Kluyveromyces lactis: one gene and its partners. The main gene of each other region encodes a partner of the protein of the gene in region 4 in a complex. Links are inferred from orthologs where the notes say so. Each region holds a gene or a part of one and is shown on either strand. Other genes may lie near its edges. The genes, in order: NUP133, NUP116, NUP82, NUP170, NUP120, NUP188 and NUP1.

Region 1 (3,929 bases), on a different chromosome or scaffold from region 4:
AATCGAATCTTGGACCAATCTCTTCCAATTCCACTCTAGGTAACTTCTTACCACCTTGTTCGGACTTGTAAGTCTTCAAGTGATACACTCTGAATAGAACATTTGGTAATGGTTCACCGTCTTGGAAATCACCTTGGACAGTGATAGAAATGATATGTTGCAAACCTGCAACATCTTGCAAAGTGGTATTCTGACCTCTGAAAAAGTCAAGGAACAATGATTTGATATGCTGGTAAACTGGATGTTGTTCAAAGGCTGCACCTTGGAAACTGAACATTGGCTTTAACCCAACGTTAAAAGTTTGTTTTCTGAAATCAGACAAAAGTTTATAGTTTTCTGCAATCTGCAACTCGATAATATCATAGATCTTATACCCAAACGTACGAATAAAAGTCAAATTGTTTCTTCTCTTCTTAGAATGTGTGCTCAACACCATAAGCGATGTATCATTCTTTTCAGATAAAAACTCTAATGGTTCATAATCTTCAAAAGGTCTGATGTTGTTCTTCTTGGAGAATCTCTTGATATCAGGCTTCTTCAACGCACTCAAATCAACCATTGAATCATGCAACAACTTGGTAGAAGTTTGACCAGGAATGAATAAAGCTTGCTTTACATTCTCAACCAATTTTGCTTCTTTTTTATCCAAAGCCCTTTTAGCACGGGCATTCTTAGGCTTTACTGTTCTGATCATCCTGGTGTTTACGGTGTCTTGATACAAATCACAACAATTACACCTTATAGGATAGAAATCTGAGCCAAAAGATGAACTATGTAGACTGTAACTTAGCTCATCGCATTTAGCTCATCGCATCGATTTGTTCCAGTTTAAAGATTTAATTTTCCAAGTTACTTGATAAGTGAAAAGAAACTATTCCAAAGTCACGTGGCGGAAAATGTTTCACGTGACATCACTTATGACGATTTCTTTGGCGACAATGAAAACAGAAACATTGACCAAGATTTTAAACAATGAGCATCAGAGAGTCTATTTACCTTTATAATTACAGCAATGCAAGGTCAAGCTAGGTTCGGCTAACAAGGTAGTGGATCAATTGAGATTAGAATTTCAAAGTTTTACATTTGGTGATTCTTTTGGCTTTTTTTTTCAGTGTCAAGATAGTACAAGATGAAGCAATTGTTTCAGCTCAGGAAAGAGCTTAGTGTACCAGCAGCAGCACCAGAGGATTCAGTAATCTCTGCTGAGGAAACGACAACTGGTTCTGCTGTCACCAATGTACAATTTTCGAATGAACAAGTTATCACAGAGAATGGGAAGTATAAGGTATCGAAGTTAGCGCCAAGTTTAAGTTTTTTGCCCAGTAATGTGGAATTATGTTGTAGCGTTGATGCAAAATCTGGGTACGCCTTATGCTGCGATACTGATAATGTTTACGTTTGGCCATTTTTATCTTCTGAAACACACCCTAGTTTTGTAAGGATTCCATTACATGACGAGGAATATGAATCATGGTCCCGTCCTCCATTATGTTGCTTTACGTGGCCTAGTGTGCTCGAACGTGACTTGAAATCAAGCCCTGGCTTATTTTTAGTGAACAGTAGATCCGGTGACATTCAATTCTATGAAGATGTTGATACTGTGAGTCAAGTGGCAAGTTTCTTGACGCAAACCAAACGTCATAAATCAGTTTTAAAACTACGTGACGGTGAATATGTAGAGAATTTGATTAATGCAGAACCAGCTGGAATATTACTTTCGACAAATTACGGGCGTGTTGAGTTTTGTACTATAAGAGATGCTAACGGGAAACCTTTTGTATCGCTAAAACAAACCATAATAAAATGTCAAGTCGGAATCTTTTCATCCATGTCCAAATCAAAGAGAGTGGTATCTCTCAAATTGGGCGAAATCAGCGGTAAAGGAGAAAGAATAGTTTCTATTTTAACCCAGGGCGGGCGATATCAGGTGTGGAACCTTTCATCTGTTGGGAATTGTTACAAAAAGATCGATTTAAATGTACAGTCTGAAATTTCACAGGCAGTCTTAGAGCATTTCCCCTTGGCAACATCTACACTGAAACTACTCGATTGTCATCCTTTATCAGGAGACTCGGATGCATACTTGTTCTTGAGTTTCTTAGCGGAAAGTAACGAAACGCACTATTTACTATCAACCATCATTGTGGATGAAGATACTAACAGTTTCGCTATCTTCTCTACTTACAGATTAAACACATACACGCGACCATTATCAGATGAATTTGCCCCAAGACTTATAGTCCCAACTGCATACACCAAGGAACATTTACCGATAACGTCTGTTTACACTTTATTCTCTGATGCTGCTGTCCTAACTCAAACAAGTTCCAAATTGGACTCTAATTATCCATTTAAAAGGAAATGGGAGGACATTATACGGTTTAACAAAGATATGAAAGTTCTTGGGTACGATTGTAATTCAAGTTCCTTATACATTACTGATGGAAGAACATGTGCGTTAAAGTTGGAGACTTTTGAAAAATACGAAAACTCTGACTTCCAAGAAATTAGATTCATAAAGTCTCATGTGGATCAATACGTCTATTTTGGAGGACAATCAACGGATTCATTACTAGACTTCAACTTACCTGACAATCTAGATCTACAACCACAAGAAATTGAAACAGATATTCAAATGTCCAGTGATGAGATTAAATATGCATTATCAAACCACATACCGCCTGTTGCTAACAACCCCATGAAACACTTAAAAATAAGAAGCGAACTTTTTGAAAGACTTCTCACATTTGTTGCTCATAATTTTTTGGATCAAACATCTTCCCAATTCAAACTGGACTTGATTTCTGATTTTGAAATGATAAAATGTTTGGAAAGCTTGTACTCTTTACTACCGCAACAACCAACATCTATTTCACAAGCTTGGAAGACAGTACTATCAGAAAGTTCCTATCAATCGGATTCTGATTTTATCTCAGACGGCATTGTTAAGATTCCAGAATTATTGGGCGCCTTTTTGAAGCATTTGAAAGACCTAATGAAATCCACAAATGAAACTATGTTAAAATCTCAGATCGCAAAGCTTATAAATCAACTAGTTTATCATTCCATATTAGAAGAATGTGAAAACAGCTACAGGTATGGACTTTTCCAGATGAGCCCAGATGATGTATCAAAAAATATCCCTTGGTTCACAACAAATAGCATAATAGAAAATCTTAATGACATCTTCTTCTTGTTAAGGCATGCCTCTGAAGATCTTGCCGTTGTGTCAGAATTTGTAGAGGAATTACTGCTATTGGTTAAGTCTCTATTTTATATGGTCAGGCAAATAACCATGTGGATTGATGCAAATGCCATTACTGATTCTAGTTATAAACAGTTTTTCGAAGAAAATCATTTACTTTGGAATAGGGTCCTTAGGGATGTTAACAGGTCTCAGGATTCAATTCTAATCACAGATTTTTACCAAGACTTTGAAGGCTTAGTTGAAACTTTGCAATCTCTGCCAAAAATTACCGCATTCTCTCTATACGATGAATTCTTCCAGAAATACGGATACGACTTTGCAAAATCCTTATTTTCCTACTATATCAAGGAAGGGCTATGGGATGATCTTTACGAATCGTTTGGTGAAACCCATTCAGAATATTTGGACCAGTTCTTAGGAGAATGTCCCGAGTATGGCAAAGTTAAATGGATTGGAAACATATATTGCCATAAATACGACGAAGCAACTACAACTTTGTTGAGTATTTCTACTGGAACTCAATCGCTGGGTCAAGATTTGAAACAAAGACAGGCACAATTGAGTATTGCCAAATTAACAGCTCTTGCCGCGGAAGTTCAAGATCTTGAAAAGCTAAACGAAATTCAAACCGAATTAGATCTCATCGATGGGCAAATTCTTCTATCCCAAGAACTACAAGAATCAACTCTCAACCCACTATTCAAAGACTTTACCACCTATC
Region 2 (4,194 bases), on a different chromosome or scaffold from region 4:
TCTGTTCCATTTTCTTTTGTGGTCCGTCGTCAGTATTGAAGATTATGAATTTCAATTCACCAGATGAGGTATCATCTTCTTCCATCTTTTGGCGATTGATGATAAGGTTTTTGAAAGACTTTTTGTCTGGATTAAAGAGGAGTTCTCCGGTAGTTAAAATAGCCTCATCAGTAGATGCAGTGAAAATTGAAGAATCCATAGGCTTTCTTGTTAGAGCAGTCGAACTAGTGTCTTCCTCCTTGGGTTTTGATAGTTTTAGATGAATTTTAACCTTTCTGGAGTTCGGTTCCGACTTTTTAGAGTCAAACAAGGGTTTTGGAAGCAGCTTGTATGCTGCGGAGAGGGAGTTCTTTTTCTTCAAGTCTGCAGAAACCATTGTGGCACTAGGCTTAGTTGGTTGAGTAATGGAATTAGGAATAGAGATAACACGGGAGAATAGCTCATCCGTACCATATGGATTGGAGTTCGCTTGTGCTGCTTGCTGCTGGTTTTGCATTTGTTGGTTTTGTTGCAAGGAAGATGAAGAGAATAAACCACCTGTATTTGCATTACCAGAAGTGTTGTTTTGTGATCCAAATAATCCTGTCGAACCAGTATTTGCTGGCTTATTCGCAGAAAATAAACTTCCGCCACCAATTGATGAGGCATTGTTCGTGTTTGTTGCGCCAAAAGGTGCAGTTCCGGCAGGTTTTCCACCGAATAATCCACCTCCAGTGGTACTACTCAAACCACCTGTTGGTTTAGTGCCGAAAAGGCCACCAGATGTTGACGCACTATCAGCTGGTTTGGCACCAAATAGACCACCAGTAGCCGTATTCTGCTGTTGTGTGTTGCCTCCGAATAACCCGCCGTTGGTAGCTCCTAAAGCGTTAGTGCCGGAAGGTTTGGCACCAAAGAGACTACCCGATGATTGACCTTGTTGCTGGTTGTTTTGACCAAATAGACCCCCCGTTGCTGTGTTGTTCTGGTTGTTATTTTGACCAAACAATCCGCTAGATGTATTCTGCTGCTGACTACTTTGGCCAAATAATCCACCAGTAGTTCCTGTTGGTTTTGCACCAAACAATCCTCCGGTGTTGTTTGCCATACTGTTGTTCTGCTGACCAAATAAACCACCGGTGTTAGGTTGCTGTGTTTGTTGGTTCTGATTACCAAATAACCCCCCCGTTGCAGACGGTTGATTACTTTGTCCGAACAATCCGCCAGATTGTTGTTGCTGATTATTTTGACCAAACAGCGCGGAACTACCACCCATTACAGTTTTATTTTGAGCTCCGAATAACCCAGTTGAACCTTGTTGACTTTGGTTGTTTGATCCAAACAGGCCACCGGTAGTTGGCTTCGCACCAAATAATCCTCCGCCCTGTTGATTCATGGAGTTGCTATTTTGTTGTCCGAAAGGACCGCCAGTGCTAGCTGCGTTACTTTGTTGTCCGAATAATCCTGTACTGTTTGTGTTAGATGGTTGTTGCTGTCCAAATAAACCTCCGCCAGTATTGGTGTTGTTTTGTCCAAACAATCCACCCGCCTGAGTATTGTTTACCTGACCGAATGGAGTAGAATTAGCAGCATTTTGTTGACCGAAAGGAGAGGGTCCGTTCTGTGCTTGCTGACCGAATAAACCGCCACCTGTAGTTCCACCTGGTTTTGATCCAAATAATCCACCTGAGGTGTTATTATTCTGACCAAATGCGTTATTGGCGTTACTTTGTTGACCAAAAAGTCCACCAGTATTGGCCGCTGTGGTGTTATTTTGTCCAAACAAACCACCCGGTTGATTGTTGGTGTTTGTTTGGCCGAAAGTGCTCCCAAAGGTGTTTGAACCAGTATTTTGACCAAATGCGTTACCTGGGTTTTGCTGTTGGTTTTGTTGACCAAATAATGAGTTGTTGGCTTGACCAAATGCGGAATTATTATTGGTGGTGTTTTGTCCAAACAGACCTCCAGAGGTAGCCGGTTTGTTTAAACCGAATGGAGAAGAACTTGAAGCAGTATTTTGCCCGAATGGAGAATTATTCTGCTGTTGTCCAAACATGCCAGTTTGCTGTTGCTGCTGTGGTTGGCCAAAGGGAGTGTTATTAGGTTGTGAAAATGCATTTACAGGCTGTTGCTGGCCAAAAGGTGAATTTGCAGGCTGTTGACCAAAGGGAGTTGCGCCACCTGCACTGATGGTATTTTTATTTCCTAAACCAAAAGTGTTGTTAGTACCATTTGTCTGTTGTTGACCGAATGGCGAAGCAATAGCAGAAGCTGTCGGACCTCCAGCAGTGGTGCTAAATTTCCTATTTTGTTGATAATCTTGGAACCTCAACTCTTCAAACGAATAAAGGCTATATTCAGGCATACAAGTAATAGATTGAAACACCGATGGATATCCAGTTGACACATCCTTTTCCGTATAAGGTTGGAATGGCTTGATTCCAGTGCCAGAAGGAGGTCCAGAAGAGAGAACGCCTGTCGCTGTACCACTAGATTGGCTACCACCAAACAGGGATGGTGGGTTCGACAATGAATTACCTGCTGCTGCTCCTGCTGCTGCCCCGCCAAACGGAGAAGTAGTTGTATTTTGCTGTTGTGACATACCGAATGGGGAATTTATAGTTTGCGTAGGGTTTGTATTAGCGCCGCCGGTACCAAACCCACCAAACCCTGATTGCGCGTTGTTGGCAGAGCTGGATCCAAACAGATTGTTTGTGGTTCCACTATGCTGTTGACCGAACGCATTGGTTGTTGACTGAGTTTGTTGGCCAAAAGGAGAAGTACTCGTCTGTCCAAATGCCGGTCGAGAAGCACCAAACATCAGTGGGTCAGGAAATCAAGTGAGGTGACAATTGATGAAAAAGCTGACTAGGAATAAAATAATATGTCCTTCAATGACACAAGTAATCTCTAAGTAGATAATACCAAAGTCGTAGCGTTTTGGTTCAATGGTATTTTTCTGAGAAATAATTTAAAGATGAGTGAGTGTCCTTGTTCTCTGATTGTGAAAGAAGAAACACACTAATCAATTAACGATCTATAAAAAAATTTCCCACTTTACGCACTGTATGAATACTTTTATTGGTCTCAGTTGCTGATAGTATGACTGAAAGACAAATACGACAAATCATATAAGCCGAAACATTGCTTGCATCAACTTAGAAAACGTTAGTTCTTTATCATCAATTAGTTGTTTACTTCAAGGATAAAGAAATTTTCAGAGGTGAGGGATGACCTAAAATCGTATTAAGTGACATAGCGTACGTAGTGATACGTAGTTTTGGGGGATTGTGATGTAGCAGTAATTACTTGAGCACAAGGGAACAGCTGCTAATGCAATTCTGAGTTGGCTCCCTGTTTGAAACACTTAATTCCAATATGTTATATATAATGAATTCCGTCTGTTAAATTACCCAAAAAGTATATATGTTCTATATAGTCGAAAGAAATGAAAATAAAATGAGAGATAAAGCCAGGCAGTAAAGGCATTAAAAGATGCATCTCTCTGGTATGCAAATCTTCGGTAGACACAATAAAGTAGATGTGAAACCCCCTTATTGGCTTTAATACCATAGCGTCATAGGCTCTCTAGGCCATTCATTACCTCATTCATAAGTAGATAATTCTTCAAATTCCTGGGCTTTAACGACCCTGTCGTTAAATCCACGATCAAATCTTCCTCTTCATCAGAATCACAATAGTCTTGCTCTAGGTCTGGAGTCGATCTGGGAACTGAATTTAAACTTTTGAAGCATTGTACTATCACCTGGGAAACCTGCTGCGTATCTTTGGCTTTTCCAAAATTGTCTGTGAACATTGTTGAATATTGTCAAACGGGGACGCTAATGGGTATATTGTAGTAGGCGCTTGTTAAGCCTATTCGGAGGTCGGTATCCTGTGTTACTCCTTATTATGAGACGTCTTTCTTACACTTTTTAACTTATCAATACAAGATACAGACAACCTCGAATCTATTACATAGGCCTTGTCAACAACTGAAAGGTTATTCCTTATATATATATAACCTCCATAAAATATACTACAACAAGATAACAATAACACACTAACAAATTGTGGTTAAATCTCTGAAACAAAATGGACCACTTCTGTGGGCAAAGGAATCAAAAGGCAGCCCGTTAATGTGCGTTATCATTTGACACTTTCACAATAACCTCTCAGCAGGAACTTCAAACACCGATCTTTTCATCAGCCTAA
Region 3 (3,702 bases), on a different chromosome or scaffold from region 4:
CTAAGACCAGCCTTTGTCAGGTTGAATCAAATTAGAACATTTCAAGAAAGAAGAGCAGGTCCACCACCATTACCAAAGGAAGACCAGGAAGAGTTTGAAAGGCTGCAGAAGCTAGCGTCTTCTCAAGAAGCTATTGATTCTTATAATGCACAGTTTGAATCGGATCATACTATGGAATCGGTGAAATCGCCAATCTTGAAGAACGATATTGGTGGGTTTTCTCCAGAATTTATGAAGACTATACCAGAGTTCGAAGGCGAAAAGAATCCTAAAACAGGAGAAATTGGTGGACCAAAGCAGGATCCATTAAGGCATGGTGATTATTCTTTCAACGGAAGAGTCACCGATTTTTGAGCGCCATTCACACGTTAAAACAAAATTCGGTTAGTAGCATATTCACATAATGAAATGATATAAAAAGTAGCACATAATATAGTAAGGTATATGCCAGTTTTAAAACTAAAAACGAAAAAAAAAAGATATGTAGATGGTGATTGCTATTATACCGCTAGATCTTCAATGGATGCGCTTAACTCATTCATACAAGAATTGATGACCTTTTTGTCGTTCAGTAACATTTGTTGTAGGGAACTAAATTCTAGCTCGGAAAAGAAATCGTCTCCTTTAGTAGTTGATCTAAGCTGTGTGTCCAAAAACTCTAGTTCTTCGCGAAGTTTGTTTGTCAGATGTACATAGTTATTGAACTTTAATACCTGGTTTTTGATACTTTTGAACCACACTAGTTCGGCCTCGCTGATACTGCTTGTTCTTAATTTCTCGTTATTTTCTATACTGGAGAATGTCTCTTTTAACTTGTCAAGTCGTTTTTCCAACGTCTTGGACTTTTCCTCATACCTGGAATATCTTTCTTGGAGGTCTCCCAAGTTTCCGTTAAGTTTATTTCTCAACATTTCGATCTCGTTGGTTTTTCTTAATTGGCGATGGAGTTCAGCCACTTCTTCGTTGGATTTGTTGAACATTCTAAATAAAATCATCTGTCCCAACTTGACGCGCTTCATGGTTTCCTTGTAAAGTTCAGAAACCACTTCCAATTGACGTTCATTGGAATTGTTCTTCAAAGGGAGAGGAGCCAAAGAGTCCGGTATGCCTGAAATGAATCCATTGGCTTCTGTTTTATACTTCGTCAAAAGCATATCCAATTCCTTTCCAGACGTTGGCAACGATGGTTTATATGTATATTTCACTTCATCGGTTCTGTTTATGGGTTTCTGTGTGGTGCTCTTGTCGTTACTCTCGATGACCTTGAAGGAATTGCCGTTGTAAAGAATATCACCAGACAAGGTAGATAAAACACCGAGGAAAGTTCCTGAAACTGTTCTTATTTTATTTTCAAACTTAACATCATCAATGATAGAGAAGTCATGAAGCCTTATGCACTGTGCCAATGGTTCCAACCATGGCATTTCCATGATAGTCGTGGAGCTATCACCAGTAAATACTAATTTAGGTTCCGAGGAGTTTAGTAGTTGGCATTGACCTTTTGCATTGAACATTGTTATTACACTAAGGTTATTGAATGTAGTATTGGAGCGTAAACTCCAACTCATGACAATTTCAGAATCGGAGAACAACACAACGTTTGTTCCATCTATAAATTGAAGATTCAAAAGGCCCAAACGTTCTCCAACCGGTATGATTGTCAAGCCTGTGACCTCTTTCGCATTCAAAGCTGTCGGAAATTTTTTTATAATGAACGGGCCCTGTGGTACAGAGTTCCTGATTGCTTTGCTCGTGAATGTGTCTATACCATCATTTTTTTTATAGTTGTCGAAAAATTGAATTTGTTTCAATAGATCATGCTTTAAGGTGAGGTAATCGGATTCCACATCAGGATCTGAACCTGATATCAGCTTTAGCTGTTTATCGAGGCTATTGTATAAAGACAATGATTTGTGCAACATGTAATCCGCTAAAGAACCATTTTTCGTCCTTGATGTGACATTTGATGTATCATTACTGCGTAGGGAAAAATTCTTTGGTAGACACGGATGGATAGCATATATGTCACAGTAATTGAAGGAGCTCAGCAGATAAAGTGTCAAACCGGTTGGATCAAATGCAATGTCACAAACTGATTCCACATGGTCTGATAACCCAAATGATCTCGATTTACGATTGAAAACAGTGATAGATTCGGGTTCTAGGTCTTCAAGATCATAAATTCGAATTGTACTATCATCATGCAAAATAACGAAAGATAACCCATAAGTAGCCAGAGGATGCCATAATAGTTTTTTTATCCCTAGACTGGTATTGAAATGCTTTCTTAATCTAGATTGCTCATTCACTTCCATGACATAGAGCTCGCTGTTCGCATGAAATGCTACAAGGCCCCCCGACGGACTGATGACCATTTGTTCTGGAACGAATGGAAGCTCCACATTATAACTCCTGTATTGCGTTTCGTGGTCTGATTGCACTCTTAAGATGTTGTCCTGCCATAAATAAATAGTGTTGGAATTGTTGCAGACAAGACGGTCGGAAGGGTTCAGAGACACTTCCTGGAAGATTGCCTTCAAATCTTCTGTATTGAAGAGTAACATCCCACTATATTGGTTCAATATCCGGCAGTTAAAGTTATGGAAGAGAAGGTACCACAGTTAGATCGCCAGTTGATCTGTGTTACGTGTATTTCAAGAAGCGTGAGAGTAGTTCATCGTCGATATATTTTGAATATTTTGAACTTTAATAGTAAAAAAAAAAAAATACCTATAGCAGATCCAGTATTGCAGAAAAGGAAGTGTACGAAAGATATCAAAAAGTTATGTTAGATATGTGTCTTTATGTCATTTTTATATGTATATATATTTACAGGCGTGAATCATACTGTGGGTCCGTTAAATCTTTGCTAAGAAGTTATTTTGTTTGATGTTGGCACGGTTGGCTATCCTTAATTGTTTTTTTCTTAGCTTGATTGGATCAGCTGCTAGTTTTTCAGCTTGGACGTTGGCATCAAGCACTGTCCAGAGCCATTCAGGGTATTCGCTGTCTTCTAATGCCACGGGTTCCTTACCGGATTTCTTGATTTGTAAGTTCAATGGAGTGCCAGCTGGACATGATGACACGATCTTGGCAGCTTGGCCAGATGCCTCGCTTTTCACTTGGTTAAATAGCACGCGAGTCACTCTCAACATTTCTCTCTTTATATAATATGAAAAATAACCGATTTGTTATGGTGGGTATGTGGTTGCCGATACCAATTCGAACCTCAACAATAAGTTTTGGCAAGTTTGTCCTGCCTTGCGGCTATCAAAGTTCATGATCATTTACAGTCCAATTTGAATTTCTATGGTACAAAATGTTGATTTTATCGAAATTTTTCATTCAAAAACTAAGAATTCACAAAACGCCAAGCAGGGTAATGGCGAAATCCATGACGACATTATAGAGGGACCAGGCCGCGTAGTAGCATAGTTTCGGGCTAAACACGGACCAAATGAATAGGTGGTACCTTAGTGCAATGCACGCTATCATTAGACATGTTCCGGTGATATAGTAATGCTGCAAGCGTAGTGTCTTCTGTTTGTAGCTTTGAGGAATTAGTGAGAGAGCCCAGTAGATGGATGGTGCGTAGTTAGACAAGAACATTAATACACCAACAACGTATATGTTATAGTTGCTACTAACACCATTGTATGCATTAGTTAGATTGACAGTTGCAATGGAGTTCGTACCACCAAA
Region 4 (2,059 bases):
GTCGAATGTCTACGATGCTATTATTTTCTATTCTTCCACACCTTTTGCTCTAGATATATACCGAAGCAGTATTTGAAATCTTTCTGATATGTTTTCCCTTCTATTTATCCTATTCTCATATTTCTAGCTGCAACAGTTCCCTAGATCTGGACAAAGCGTTGCTTATAATACCTGCTGATGAAGTCATATGTTGCCGTTCCATAATGAAATCTCTAGGCTTTTTTTTTTCACTTCGAAAGAGGTTCTTCATAAATATACAATTTTATATACCTCTTCAGCAGATTGCAGGTCGAAATTCGGTTTAATATATTCTTTCCATAACCAAAGACTTATCGCAACATCATAAGAAAGCAATATTGATATTAGTTGTTTTGTTTATTAAGATTGGGGTGAAAATGTTATTTATCAATATAGTATACAAAGGGAAATAAACACCACAACAGACGTTTTAAACTAAAGCTGTTCTTTTTTTTACCATCTCGCTGAAAGGTTAGAGTAACTCAAAACACACTATCACCTGTGCGCTTTTTGTAATTTTCCAATGGGTCATTTTCAATTGAATACTTGTCGAAGGAACGAATTTCTTCTAGTGGTATCAAATCTCTCAATTTTCTGTCAGAGTGATACCATTCTTTAATCAGCCAAACCATCTCTTGTTCGTAAATATCGTTGGAGCTGGTAGTTGTTTCAATTAAATCTTTGAGAACATGGTACATTCGGTCGTATGAGACGCCAGCTTGGATGAAAATAGATGCAATTGAACCTGCTTTGATGTGTTCTTTTGGAAGGTTCTCATATATTAGGCTACAGATGTGTGGGAATAAATCAACAACTGGGAACACAAATTCACTGGTACGTACATTCTTACCAACACGAATCACTGTTGATGATGCTAGACTAATGAAAGTAGTGCTTTTTTCCAGTTCATCCGTAGCATTGTTCTCTGATAAATGTTCCTTGAAAGAACTGAAAAGCTCTTCCCATTTCGATATGATTTCCTCATGATTTCTAAAGTCACTGACTTTGAAAATGAGCAGACAAATTTCATAATAACTCAATGGTGCGGCAAAGTCATTATAAAGTTCAGTCACGGTCAAAATTTTGCCTTCAAGTTGTTGCAAGGCTTCATTTCTGACAGTCGAATCAATCCTGAGGTCATCCTTGAGAGCACGGACAATTTCATCTTGAATGCTTGCTACATCGACAACTTCTTTTATCATGCCAGATAATTGAATCATGGCTTGCCTTTGGCTTGGCGGAGAGACTCCATTACAGAAAACGTTAGCTCTTGACAAGTACTCAATTCTGTTTTGTAGAGGAATATCGAAATCCGAAATAGCTAATGAATACAGAATTTGAGCTGCTTCCAAGAAATGCGATCTTTTGGATTGGTAAACCCAAAGAAGATTGGAAATTTCTAGGGATTTCGCTGCTTTTTCTTCTAAGTATGGTAGAATAAAATCTGAGTCTAGCTGAAGAAGCTTTTCTTCAGACTTTTGCTGTACCAACCAATCATACATTTGATAATGGAATAATTTGTCGTTATATTTTAAAGTAACGTTGTAAACCTCATCGCGGGTTTTTTGAATATCTTGATTGTTAACATTTTCAGGCAGAGCAGCTAGTTGGTCAACTTTGATTAAAGTTTCGAACACAATTTCATAGATCGAAACTCTAGCATTGTAGTATTTTTTCCTTTCATCGTGTTCCAAAGATCCATCTGCAACATATTGAAGTGCCAATTTACCCTTGTCCATCGCATTGGCAATATTCAACAAAAATTCGACGGTTTTTGGGTAGTAATTAAGTTCCAACATGATACCTACAGCCTCTTTTATCTTATCTAAAGACACATCATCAACTATTCTTTCAAATAACTTTGCTGCATTGGTTAGGTGATAGTTGAGTGTTTCTTGATCTCTGAGTCCTATTTCTTTTGCTTTTCTCAAGTGCTCGACAGCTCTAAAGCCAAGAACATCACCGGTGGAACAAAACGATCCACAGCGTTCTTGAAGTGCAGTAGCGATGTATTCAATAGATCCACCTTTTGTAATACTTC
Region 5 (4,031 bases), on a different chromosome or scaffold from region 4:
TTTTATAGCTGTTCCAATCAGTGAGAGAAACTTGTGATGATAAAATTGAAGCTATAATTTTATAATCACTCACACATAATAGTATGGATCCGTTGGAAATGTTTGCATTGTAGCATTCTTGGAGTAAAGTTGCAGTGAACATTTCACTGTACTTTTGATCACTCAGCAGTGTATAATAGTATTTTTCTCTTAGGCTTATATCAAGGACTTTTTGTTCCAACCTCAATACATCCAGGACTTCTTTATAATCGCCAAATACTATCAATGTATCTAAGTATTGTATCAACTGATCTGCTCTTGTACCATCAAGTGATATAGATTTTTTGATGGTTTTTAAAGCATTAGCATACGATGAAGCTTTGGAACATAGAACTGAAAGTTCATAATAGTATGCTGGTTTATCTTTTGTATTGATCGCATGAAGGAGATTGTACCAAACGTGATTTTCAGTAACCTCCAGATATTTAGGTAGTGAGAGCTCATCAGAGAAGTCATTTGCCAAGAATATTTCAATAGATGCATCATATTCATTGCATTTGAACAAAGAAAGAGCATATAGTAGTTCTTCTACTGGATCCTTGGACACATGGTAAGGCTTAGCAACAAAGTGTAGGAATTGCTTTGCACAAGTCAAATCTTCGCCGTTCAATATGAAATCGGAAAAGGCTCTTGTAAATATTGGAGGTTCAGCTGTTGGAGAATTCTTGACAAAACCAACCATTAATGTAGTAAAGTCGGTTATATCGCTGTAAGATTTCAATTGTGCACCATAATTGTATTTAGTAACATGACCGAAGGTCTCAGAAATTGCCAATAATTTATCTATTTGATACACTTGGAGCCACAATGAGATATTGAAGTGCAAGGTAATTAACTTAGACAACTTCTCTGCAAAAACTTCATAGTTGATATCCACAATAGTGAATACTAACAATATATCAATGATAAACTTATCCATAATGGAGAGTGTCTGCTTCAAGGATTCCATAGACAAAACAGATAAGAAAATGTCAGTATCTAATAAATCAATAACTGAAAAAGCACCTACTTTCAAATCACAGTGTATAAATTCGGATAAAACCTCCACCACATCAATAGAATTTAGATTTTCCAACAATTTTGATAAATTAGCACTTTGGAAACCATTTGTTAGACAATCTTGAAAGACAATGGTAATTTTATTTTTCAATGATAACGAGGGATTTATTGAACCATTTACCATGTCTAAGAACTTCTCAGATATCTTATTTAACGTTTCAGATGTAATGGTTGTTGAAAAACCATGCAGGATATTTAAGAAAAGCTCTAGTTGAGACGAGGGTTCCTTTCTCTCAAAAATGTTAAAGAAAATTGTTTCAAGTTGTGAGTCTAACTTATACGTGGAATGATGATACATGTGTAAGCTGTTAACAACAATTATCTCATCATCAAGAATAGTTAGAGTTGAAGGCTCCTGATATTGTTTATGAAGTTCTTTCAAAAGAGCTTCTAGATTATTCAAATAATCTTGATTATGAGGATCATTTATCTGCACCATGACATTATTTTTATTCAGTATCTTTTGTGCGTCATCGTACGTTGATTGTGAGTAGTGTGACTTGAGATTGAGGAGAGCCTTTTCCATATTTCCGTTTGTTATTAGGTCTGAGTCATCAAGCAAATCAGAGAGGTATGTGCTGTTACCATCAATCCATTTGTAGCTACTATACAGAGAGTCTTCGAAGGAGAGTAGTTGTAGCTTGGTCACTGTGTTACTTTTCCATAATAAAACCAAGTTGAGTCCCGATTGTTTGACAATTGAGGATTTTACTAATTGAATGTCAATTAAAGACCATATTGAATAAGATGAAAGATTGAGAGGTATATTAACGTTTAATGGTTTGAAGGAGATTCTTGAAGAATGCGTATTTTCTAATTGAATGACTTGGAACGATCCATTACCTGCAGGTAGGTATACAAACAGGAGAGATCCACAAATTATCATGTATTTTCCGGCAGCTCCATAATTCACCTGCTGGTTTTTCTCTTTTAGATCGAAATGCGCATTTAGTTGATATGTGGTTAAATCCCAGATTTTAATGGTTGCATCATTCGTTAATGTGACAAGATACTTGTCATTCAAAAGTTCTGCAGATACCACTGCAGAGTTGTGGTTATCGTACTTTGAAAACATTCTTGTAAAACTTTGAAAGTATGAACTATCATTGAATAGGACAGGTTGCAATTCAAAATCGTTTAATATTTCGAGCGGAATACGTTTTAACCCCAAAAGACCACCATCTTTTAGAAATACTACACTGAAGGTGTTATCAACATGAAATAGACACTGTGGAGGACGTACTGAGAAATCATACGGGTTTAAAACCTTCAACCAATTCTCAGGATACTCATTTTGACGAGTTCTCGATAGAATAAAATCGATAGGCAATGAAAGGTTGATGAAAATTCCATCCTTTAAAATCACATCAAAACATAGGTTGGAGGTCGTTTCACTAGATTCGTATACGACTGCAGTAAACCATTTGTTCAGAAGAGGTTTTGGAAAGTGGATATATATGGTTTTCCTTGCAAAAGTTTCCTTCATGGAGTAAATACTCAAAACAGTGTAATTATTACACCATTGGAAGGACAACGATTCATCAATTAATTTTAGTTGCAACAGTTTGCTGTACTCTACGGAAGTTATTTCTTCTGTAGATGATCCAACATTCCCATTGACGTATAAATGTTGGGCATTGTCTGATGAGTGCTTCGATTTTAATTGTAGTAAATTTGTATTCAGACGAGAAAAGCTGGTCATTTTTCGCAGTTTCAGCTTTACCTCTCAGCTGTTCAATAGTAATGTTGTAGGTTTATGTTCCGATTTAGCCTGTAATTGAAGTTCTCTGGTGGCTGTTCTCTTCTGTTTACCGATTCCACTTCATGTCAGATTGATTTCAACATGTCTTTTCTCATTGTTGTTGTAACCATGAAAACAATATTATCCGGGTAACTTATAACTGAATTTTAAGGTCGCTTGGGCAATAATTTCCATGTTGTGAGGAGGATTATATAGGTACTCTGGGGATACCATGTCTATAGACGATGACGTTCGTCTTGTACTGTTTTACATGAGCATTATAGATTATTTTCCTATATTTCTCTTTGAATTATAGCGGCAGCTTTGATTACTATAGCATTGCGTTCATAAGCTCATAATTTTTTCTAGTCGTATCACACCGTTATAGCCACCAGAAACGATTACAGGGGTATCATCTATGACTGTGGATGCAATGGCAATTGGTTGCACTTCAGCGGGAACCTTCTCAGGGTGTTCATAATGATTGTATTTTCTAATTACTTTACCATCTTCTTTGATTGACTTCACGAGTATTGAACCATCCTTCAAAGCGGTGACAGTGTACTCCAAATCATTGAGGAAAATCGAGGAAATAGCAGATTCTGCGGTAGAAGACACTAAAATGGTCTTCTTCTGATCGAAAGAGTAAATCAGAGTTTCTGTATCGAATCTCACAAGCAATTTTGATGTCGACCTGTTCAATGCTAATTCATTATTTGTGTGATGGAATTGGGTCAGCGAATGAGAAAGATCGATTTGTTGTAAAAGGGAGCCTTGAAAGTCGAAGATAGAAATCTTTACGTTTTGTTTTGAACTACCATTTAATATTATAAGCGATTTTTCCGTTAATCCCAACAAACAATTGAGAATCTTATTGGGGACTGAAATGACGAATTCATTAACCTTAACGATACTGGAGTCATCGATTTTAATTTCCCAGACCCGTATCTCGTTAACGAAAGTCAAAATTAGCCATTTATTTTTGAAATCTACAGATTGTAAGCCTTCTAAATCCTTGAGGCCATCCCAAGATATGACAGGGTCGCTCTGGCTTACGTTCCACAACTTGACGGAAGTTTCATCCACAGTCATAAACCTTGTTTTATTCAACCAAAAAATACCCAAGAGGTTAGGCACACAGTGAAACGCCTTGGTTGCCTTTTCATTAGAGTTCAAACTAGGTTCAATGAGC
Region 6 (2,521 bases), about 860 kb from region 4:
CCCCAAAAAAATCAGAACCATCGAATAGCGCCTCTGAAACATCAATTCTTTCTCTCCTTAAGAAAAATGTCTTGAAGCTAGATTGCTACCCGGAATCTGTGGCTTCTCGACTTCTTGAAGCAATCTCATATGCATTCAACTCTTGGGCTGCTGCAAGGAATAATACAGCAGATAAAGAATTTATAGATTTTCTCGTCAAAAGGCTAGAAAAGTTCGAGGACAAGTTGGCTCCCGATTCGGTTGAGGCGACGATTAAATTATCCAGTCACTATCGTCTTCAAGCGAGGATTGCTGAAATATTTGCCCTTCATCTATTCACCTCTTCACCTTCAGATTCCACCATAACAAACATGTTAAATGGACCCCAACTTGTTGATATCGTTAAGAGGATATTTTCTATAGACGGATATGATAAAACTCTTCATTTGACTCTCGCAGAGGAATTCAAAAAGATTTGGCCTCATCTGGATATAGAAAAATTCGCTATTTCACCACTTTATAGAATCGGTAAGGCGTACCAGGCGAACATATATGACATTGAACTTCTTGATCAGTTCTTCTGTTGTGAAGAAAAATGGAGAGGGAACGGGTCCACTCCAGGGTTTAGAGAACAAGTTATAAAAAGCTCTATCAACTTACAATATGTGTCTTTCCAAATTTCAGCAGCAAAATCATGGGGAGCTCTTTTGACCGCATTCATTAAGAAAACTCCAAAGCCTTTACAAGCTTCATATGTCGATATTGTTACCCAACTACTCGCACTAAATGTTGAGCATGGTGTGGAGGCACCTATCTTCTCTGAAATATACCTCCTAAGAATCGAATTGGTGTTTTACATACTGTATTCATTCTTACAAACTTCTATGAAGATACCTGAGGATAAGCTTGAAACTCTATTGTCACAGCTTTTGGCAATTTTAAAGTCTAAAGAGGTAGATTACCTCGGAAATATCGCACAATCGAATAAGAATAATCAATATAGACCTATTCTTCGTTCGATTTTGATGTTGTTAACTTTGGCAAAACCTTACCCTATGTTTTCAGAAAGATATTCTGATAGTCTATTGGAAGTCTTCGAGTTAGCTTTTTCAAAAGGTGTTAATTTGATCTTGTCTTCTATATTATTCTCATTCACAATAGCCTCCAACAAAGGTAAAAAAGTTATTGTGCCAAATCTTGCCGACAAAATTCAAGATTTGTTACTATTACTATCCCTTTTCACAAAAATCAAAGAACTGAACCCTTCGACATCCTTTAACGCTGTATTGGCATCCTCGCTAAATGAATTTGGAACCTTAAAATCACTTTTGAATCTTTACTACAGTTCATATCTTTTCAGATCTCATGATGAACCCTTATTCGCGGAGCTAACCCTGTCATTCATTTCTGAGCTTGTCACAATTGAAGAAGTTGCACAAAAGATTATAGATAACGGGCTCTTCTCTGTGTTCTTGGAAAGTCCGATTTCGGTGTCAATTCAACAATCTGGGGCTCGCCCAGAATTATCACCAAGATTGCATAACATATGGTCCAATGGCATCATATCGATTATTCTTCAACTATTAAGTAAATTCGGATCTGGAATACTTTCGGAAGTGTGTCTATTTGTTTCATATTTCTCCAAACAAATAGATCTTGCTGTGGGGGGCTGGTCGTCTGACTCACTGTCCATAACTCAAGCATATATCCAGGAGACTTCCCAGATAATTCTTTTGCAGAAAATGCTAGATAAACTTGAATATCAGCGTTATTTGTCTGTTAATGGTTCCAAATTGAAGGTCATTGACGAAGAAGAGATAATAGAGTTGTTCCCTGGTTTAGACACTAGCTCTGAGAGAAACGATTTGGCAAATGTATTGAAACATTTGTTAACTCACCCAAAGTATATGAATTCTCGGATCATCGCGACAACCCCAGACAAACAAAAGATGATGGAAGATGAGGTCTATAGAAATCAGCTTCTACATTCTATCACCAAGCAAATCTCAGAACTTCAATCATCCTTGATGTCAGATTTATAAACAGGTAGGTTTATATAGTATTAATATTATTTAGATAGAAATAATTTTCTGAAGTCATCATTGCTCAACTTTTTGTCATTTTGTGACGCTTGCTGTGATTTAATTTCCTTTACAACAGCGTGCTTTGGTTGATTCAAGGTTGTTTTGTGTTCATTGGGATAATGAAGGGAAAGTTCATGAGCAGAAACACATTTCAAAATTCGGTTCTTGAACTTGTATCCATTGATTGCAAGTGAAACTTTTGCGGTAATTGCTTCTTTGTCCGCTATTATTAAAGCACCTTCATGATCAGAGACCAGCAAAACCTTCGTAATATCCGGAGGTCTAATTTGAGCTTTCTCCGTAATGAAAGCAAGAATTTGATCTGGGGTAATCTGATCAGACAATGGGTATATTCCGACAACTTTTGGGTTTTCTTTTCTGGAAGCAAGCAGACGCTTCACCTCTTGTCTTTCTAGATAAGCCTTTCTCATAACTTTTGAAACGTGTAATGGCTTACC
Region 7 (4,161 bases), on a different chromosome or scaffold from region 4:
AATGTAAAGATGTCGGAAGGAATGATATCATGCAATAATTGTTACAATTGAGATGCAAAGCCTTTGTTTTCCTTTATTAGCCTCTTCTTCTTCTCCTACCGGGCATAGCAATTTTGCGCTGCGGTGGAAATGGTGCCCCTCCTTGAGGAGTTGAAGCCTGCGCATTGAATATGTCCGCTGGATTCTGCTGACCAGCGGAAAATATGGACGATGGATTCTGTTGCGGGGTTTGGGATCCAAATACTACAGAAGGACTTTGAGATGGTTGACCACCAAAATTAAAATTGGCAGCGGCTGAAGGATTAAATGTGTTTGTCTGCATAGAATTACCGAAACCGGTACCCAATGCTGGTACCTGGGGAGTGGAAGAAGCTGAGCTTCCGCCGAATGAAAAAGGTACATTAGGCTGATTGGAACTGGTTCCAAATGCAGGTGAACTGTTGGTAGTGCTTGGCCCACTTCCAGTAAAAGTAAATGGTTTTTGATTTTGTTGTGCAAAAGTAAATGTAGTTTGAGTAGGCTGCGTTACACTTATCTTATTCCCAGGTTGAACGACATTATCAAATGAGAATGGGACAGGAGGGTTGCTTCCACGAGCAGATCCAACATTTGATGAATCTGAAAACGGAGTCGGAGTAGTTTGTCTATTATTATTTTTAAACCCTGTCAAATCAAATTTGAGTCCGCTGACAGGCTGGCCACTGGTGTTCTGACTTGCAAACGAAGGAATTGCATTGGAAGCTTTTTCAATTGAGGGCTGCTGGATGGCAGAGGAACTTCCAAAAGAGAATGCAGGTTTCGAACTCATATCACCTTGAACAGGTTTCTTTGTGGTCCCGAACGAAAATGATGGTGCAGCAGCTTCTTTTGGGGTTGTATCAGAAGGTAGGGCTGCTGGGGTGCTACCAAAGGAGAATGCAGGTTTTACAGCAGTACTGACGGCATTTTTGGCTTCCTGCTTCTCTGTCGCGTTGTCTGCTGAAGGCTGTTGGTTGAGAGAAAATGCTGATGTATTCGAAGCTTGCCCAAAACTGAAAGGTTTAGCTTTTTCCTTCTCAATATTTTTTGACGAATCATTTCCTACAGGTTTACCACCAAAGCTGAATGATGGCAGCACTGGTGCTTCAGTTTTTGTACCATCTGGTCTCTTTGCGGCAGGTTCAGTACTACCACTGGAACCAAACTGAAATAGTGGTTTAGGTGTATTAGTTGATTGAGAGGTACTCAATGGGGTCAGATCTGGAGTAGATGATTTTCCTTTGTTGAAGCTAAACATAGGTTTTGACATTTCACTGACATTAGTTGGTTCGCCTGCATCTTTTTGGCTGCCAAAACTGAATGAAGGGGCGGGTTTAGCTATCTCTTTGCCTTCTGAAGATTTTCCAAAACTAAATGTAGGTATATTTGATATCCCAGTTGTATCCGCACCAGTGAAGCTGAACTTAGGGAGGCCGTCTTTAGCCAGATTTTCAACAGGTTCGGGGGCGGATTTCTCAAAGGGGTTTTTGGATGTTTCAGCTTTTTTGGTCTCTTTCTTGGTTTTTGATAAATCACCAAAGGTGAAAGAAGGAGCACCATCTGAGATTTTTGTGCCTCCATTGGCTGTAGCTGTGTTGTTTTTTTTTACCGCATCAAAAGAAAAAGCAGGTTTCGATGGTTCAGTTGATGTTTCCAGCGACTTAGAACTTGTGAAGGGAAATGGTTTAACAGTGTCCTCAGTAGAACTAAATTCTTTCTTTTTTCTTGGTAACTCTTCAGAATCCTGAGAAGGGGCCGTTAATTTCTGTTTATCATTGTTGAATAAATCCAATTTGGTATTTCCAAAAGATATATTTTTGGATACTGTTGGTTTGGTAGGTGTATCTGTGCTACCTGGGAAAATAGAAGTACTGTCTCTATTCATAAAGTCAAATCCAACACTTGGGCCGTTAGCGTTTAAAACTTTATCTTCTGATATTTTTTCCTTGACGATAGGTTTCAATGATAGTGTTGGTGCAACTACTTCTTGTGCTATCTTTGGATTTTTTTGCAATGTCTTTCCTTGTAATAACCTGCTTTGAACATCAGTTAAGCCAGATCCACTAGGCACTCCTGTTTGATCAAAAGTATTGACATGTTTCTTTGAAGAGGTACTCCTTTTTAGCAATGGATGTGGTAGTTTAGGAGATTCCAAATTCCCCATTGAGGCAGATACTGGTTTCGTCTTTTTGTCGTTTTTCAAGATATCATATTCTGATAAATCGTATTGAAAATCAGCTTTCCACTTCTTGGACTTTGGGTTATCGGAAACCCTATGATTTTTCTTGTCACTTTGTAGTTTGTTGACGAGTAAATTCTTTATAGTAGCATTTTTGCCGTCTGTTAAGCGATATAGGCCGTTCTCTGCTGATTGTAATTGTCTTTGTAAAAGTGGGAATTGCCGAGCACGGCGCAGTTGCTGCATCCTTAGTAGCCGCAATCTTTGTTTCGGTTCTATCGTTAGTACTGGAGGCCTTACACCATGTTCAGAATCCCCTTCATACAAGAAAATATTCGGTCTTTCATCATAATTGATATCATCAATGCCATTGTGATTTAACGGGTGATCGGTGATTTTTTCGTTATTCCAAACCAATTCCTCGTAACCGTCGAAGCCACGTTTTTGCCTCTTGATGACCACTGATCCTGAATCACTGATATCTTCATTGTGCGACCTTGTTATATTCGGATCTTCGCTATTCGTATCGTCATGCTTGGTAAATAATGATGCCAAAGTCGATGAAATCGATCTTTTGGGTTTTTCCAGATATGATGCCGACATTATTCTATAAAGTGGCCGTGATATGCGGCAAGTGAACCAGAGTCCAATTCAAGTTTTCGATTCCTATTTCTTTCGAAACTGCTGTTTCTGTAACTTTCTTGCGTATTAATAAAGGTATTATTCGATATTTGATAATTCGATATTTCAAGTCCTAACATTCCTAGCTGTTATTTTTTTCCTCTTACAGGGTTATAATCACTTTGTACGGTTTGACACATATTGACCTAAACTAACCAAGGCGTCAGTATAAGAGAGTCTAGCTAGGAGATGGACATAAATTTGCATTAGTTCCAAAACATCAATATGGGGCTCGACTATTATCCAAAATTTATTATAACGATTCTACATTATGAAAGTTTAAAGATTTGCCGTCCACTTAATACAAAAGTACCCTTTTTCGTTATTTTAGCTTTCAAGTTTTATATAGAACTCAAGTTTTGTTCATTTTTCTATACATAAGGCCTGAAAGTGACATGAGGGATCGAAAAGAACAAATTGATATATAAGTAAAGAAAAACTTAACGTTAAACTGCAAGAACGCACAGGATAGAACGTAGTGTGCATCAATGCCATGCTTAACAGTACAAGTGTTCTATTCTTGTGAAATTCAGATTATCACGTGACCGATTTCTCCCCATCCTGTCATACATTCGTCCCATCTTGTTTTTTTTTTTTTAGTTTGGGGAAACCTTGAAGAACGCGTCATGGAGGAAATCAAGTAAAAAGTGCAACACCGAATGTGGTTATGAGGCTTCGACACCACAGAACAGACCGCTTGATTCCGAAACGAAGAGGCCATATCGGTCAAGGAAAATCCCAAAAAACACCTTGAAGGGACAGAAGACTGAAACGAACACATAAGTCTAAATCCGAAAAGAAAAGAATCATTACACTAGAAGAAAATGGGCAGTGGAACATCGCACGATGCCTTCGACTACGAGTCATGAAGTGGGAGATCGATAAATGTCATAAATGTCATAAATGTGCTATTTTTATGGCTGAGCTCTGCTAATGGTATCATATAGTTTTTTTTTTTTTTTTGTAGTTTTCAATATTCCCTGATCGAATCTGGGTTGCCTCGAGAAAAATGTGATATTAGAATAGCGTATATCCACTGTTCAATTGAAGAAAACTGAAAAATTACAAACGAAGGCATTTTACCTTTAACAACTCGGTATCGTTTTTTGTTTCCTTAGGTGCTTTACTAAGTTATTTGATCGTTTGACGTGAATATCCTGAAACCACATTGGTCGTTGTTGATTTCTTCTTAACAAATCCGCTATTTTTCTTTATTTCAATTGGAAATAGGTTGGGAGAAAGCTGTTCAGTAATCTTTCAATAAGCCATGAGCGAGACCAGAA

The links.
Region 1: NUP170 (region 4) and NUP133 share a complex: the UniProt entries of both Saccharomyces cerevisiae proteins name them as parts of the nuclear pore complex. The link is inferred for Kluyveromyces lactis from reciprocal best matches to the Saccharomyces cerevisiae genes NUP170 and NUP133.
Region 2: NUP170 (region 4) and NUP116 share a complex: the UniProt entries of both Saccharomyces cerevisiae proteins name them as parts of the nuclear pore complex. The link is inferred for Kluyveromyces lactis from reciprocal best matches to the Saccharomyces cerevisiae genes NUP170 and NUP116.
Region 3: NUP170 (region 4) and NUP82 share a complex: the UniProt entries of both Saccharomyces cerevisiae proteins name them as parts of the nuclear pore complex. The link is inferred for Kluyveromyces lactis from reciprocal best matches to the Saccharomyces cerevisiae genes NUP170 and NUP82.
Region 5: NUP170 (region 4) and NUP120 share a complex: the UniProt entries of both Saccharomyces cerevisiae proteins name them as parts of the nuclear pore complex. The link is inferred for Kluyveromyces lactis from reciprocal best matches to the Saccharomyces cerevisiae genes NUP170 and NUP120.
Region 6: NUP170 (region 4) and NUP188 share a complex: the UniProt entries of both Saccharomyces cerevisiae proteins name them as parts of the nuclear pore complex. The link is inferred for Kluyveromyces lactis from reciprocal best matches to the Saccharomyces cerevisiae genes NUP170 and NUP188.
Region 7: NUP170 (region 4) and NUP1 share a complex: the UniProt entries of both Saccharomyces cerevisiae proteins name them as parts of the nuclear pore complex. The link is inferred for Kluyveromyces lactis from reciprocal best matches to the Saccharomyces cerevisiae genes NUP170 and NUP1.

The regions. Positions count from the first base shown.
Region 1 is NC_006037.1:703,054-706,982, reverse strand, and holds the start of NUP133 (Nup133p), read left to right. Parts: upstream 1-1,129; coding exon 1,130-3,929. Other genes in the region: rRNA-binding ribosome biosynthesis protein RPF2, read right to left, coding at 1-694. UniProt on the Saccharomyces cerevisiae protein: Functions as a component of the nuclear pore complex (NPC).
Region 2 is NC_006042.1:2,465,853-2,470,046, reverse strand, and holds the start of NUP116 (FG-nucleoporin NUP116), read right to left. Parts: upstream 2,801-4,194; coding exon 1-2,800. Other genes in the region: KLLA0_F26686g (uncharacterized protein), read right to left, coding at 3,557-3,796. UniProt on the Saccharomyces cerevisiae protein: Functions as a component of the nuclear pore complex (NPC).
Region 3 is NC_006042.1:156,109-159,810, forward strand, and holds NUP82 (linker nucleoporin NUP82), read right to left. Parts: upstream 2,565-3,702; coding exon 501-2,564; downstream 1-500. Other genes in the region: SDH8 (Sdh8p), read left to right, coding at 1-354; MRPL37 (mitochondrial 54S ribosomal protein mL54), read right to left, coding at 2,859-3,155; mannose-ethanolamine phosphotransferase LAS21, read right to left, coding at 3,361-3,702. UniProt on the Saccharomyces cerevisiae protein: Functions as a component of the nuclear pore complex (NPC).
Region 4 is NC_006041.1:1,830,246-1,832,304, forward strand, and holds the end of NUP170 (Nup170p), read right to left. Parts: coding exon 501-2,059; downstream 1-500. UniProt on the Saccharomyces cerevisiae protein: Functions as a component of the nuclear pore complex (NPC).
Region 5 is NC_006039.1:1,080,757-1,084,787, reverse strand, and holds the start of NUP120 (Nup120p), read right to left. Parts: upstream 2,801-4,031; coding exon 1-2,800. Other genes in the region: FAR8 (Far8p), read right to left, coding at 3,185-4,031. UniProt on the Saccharomyces cerevisiae protein: Functions as a component of the nuclear pore complex (NPC).
Region 6 is NC_006041.1:969,499-972,019, reverse strand, and holds the end of NUP188 (Nup188p), read left to right. Parts: coding exon 1-2,021; downstream 2,022-2,521. Other genes in the region: U6 snRNP complex subunit PRP24, read right to left, coding at 2,048-2,521. UniProt on the Saccharomyces cerevisiae protein: Functions as a component of the nuclear pore complex (NPC).
Region 7 is NC_006039.1:1,148,350-1,152,510, reverse strand, and holds NUP1 (FG-nucleoporin NUP1), read right to left. Parts: upstream 2,801-4,161; coding exon 77-2,800; downstream 1-76. Other genes in the region: alpha-1,2-mannosyltransferase KTR1, read left to right, coding at 4,146-4,161. UniProt on the Saccharomyces cerevisiae protein: Functions as a component of the nuclear pore complex (NPC).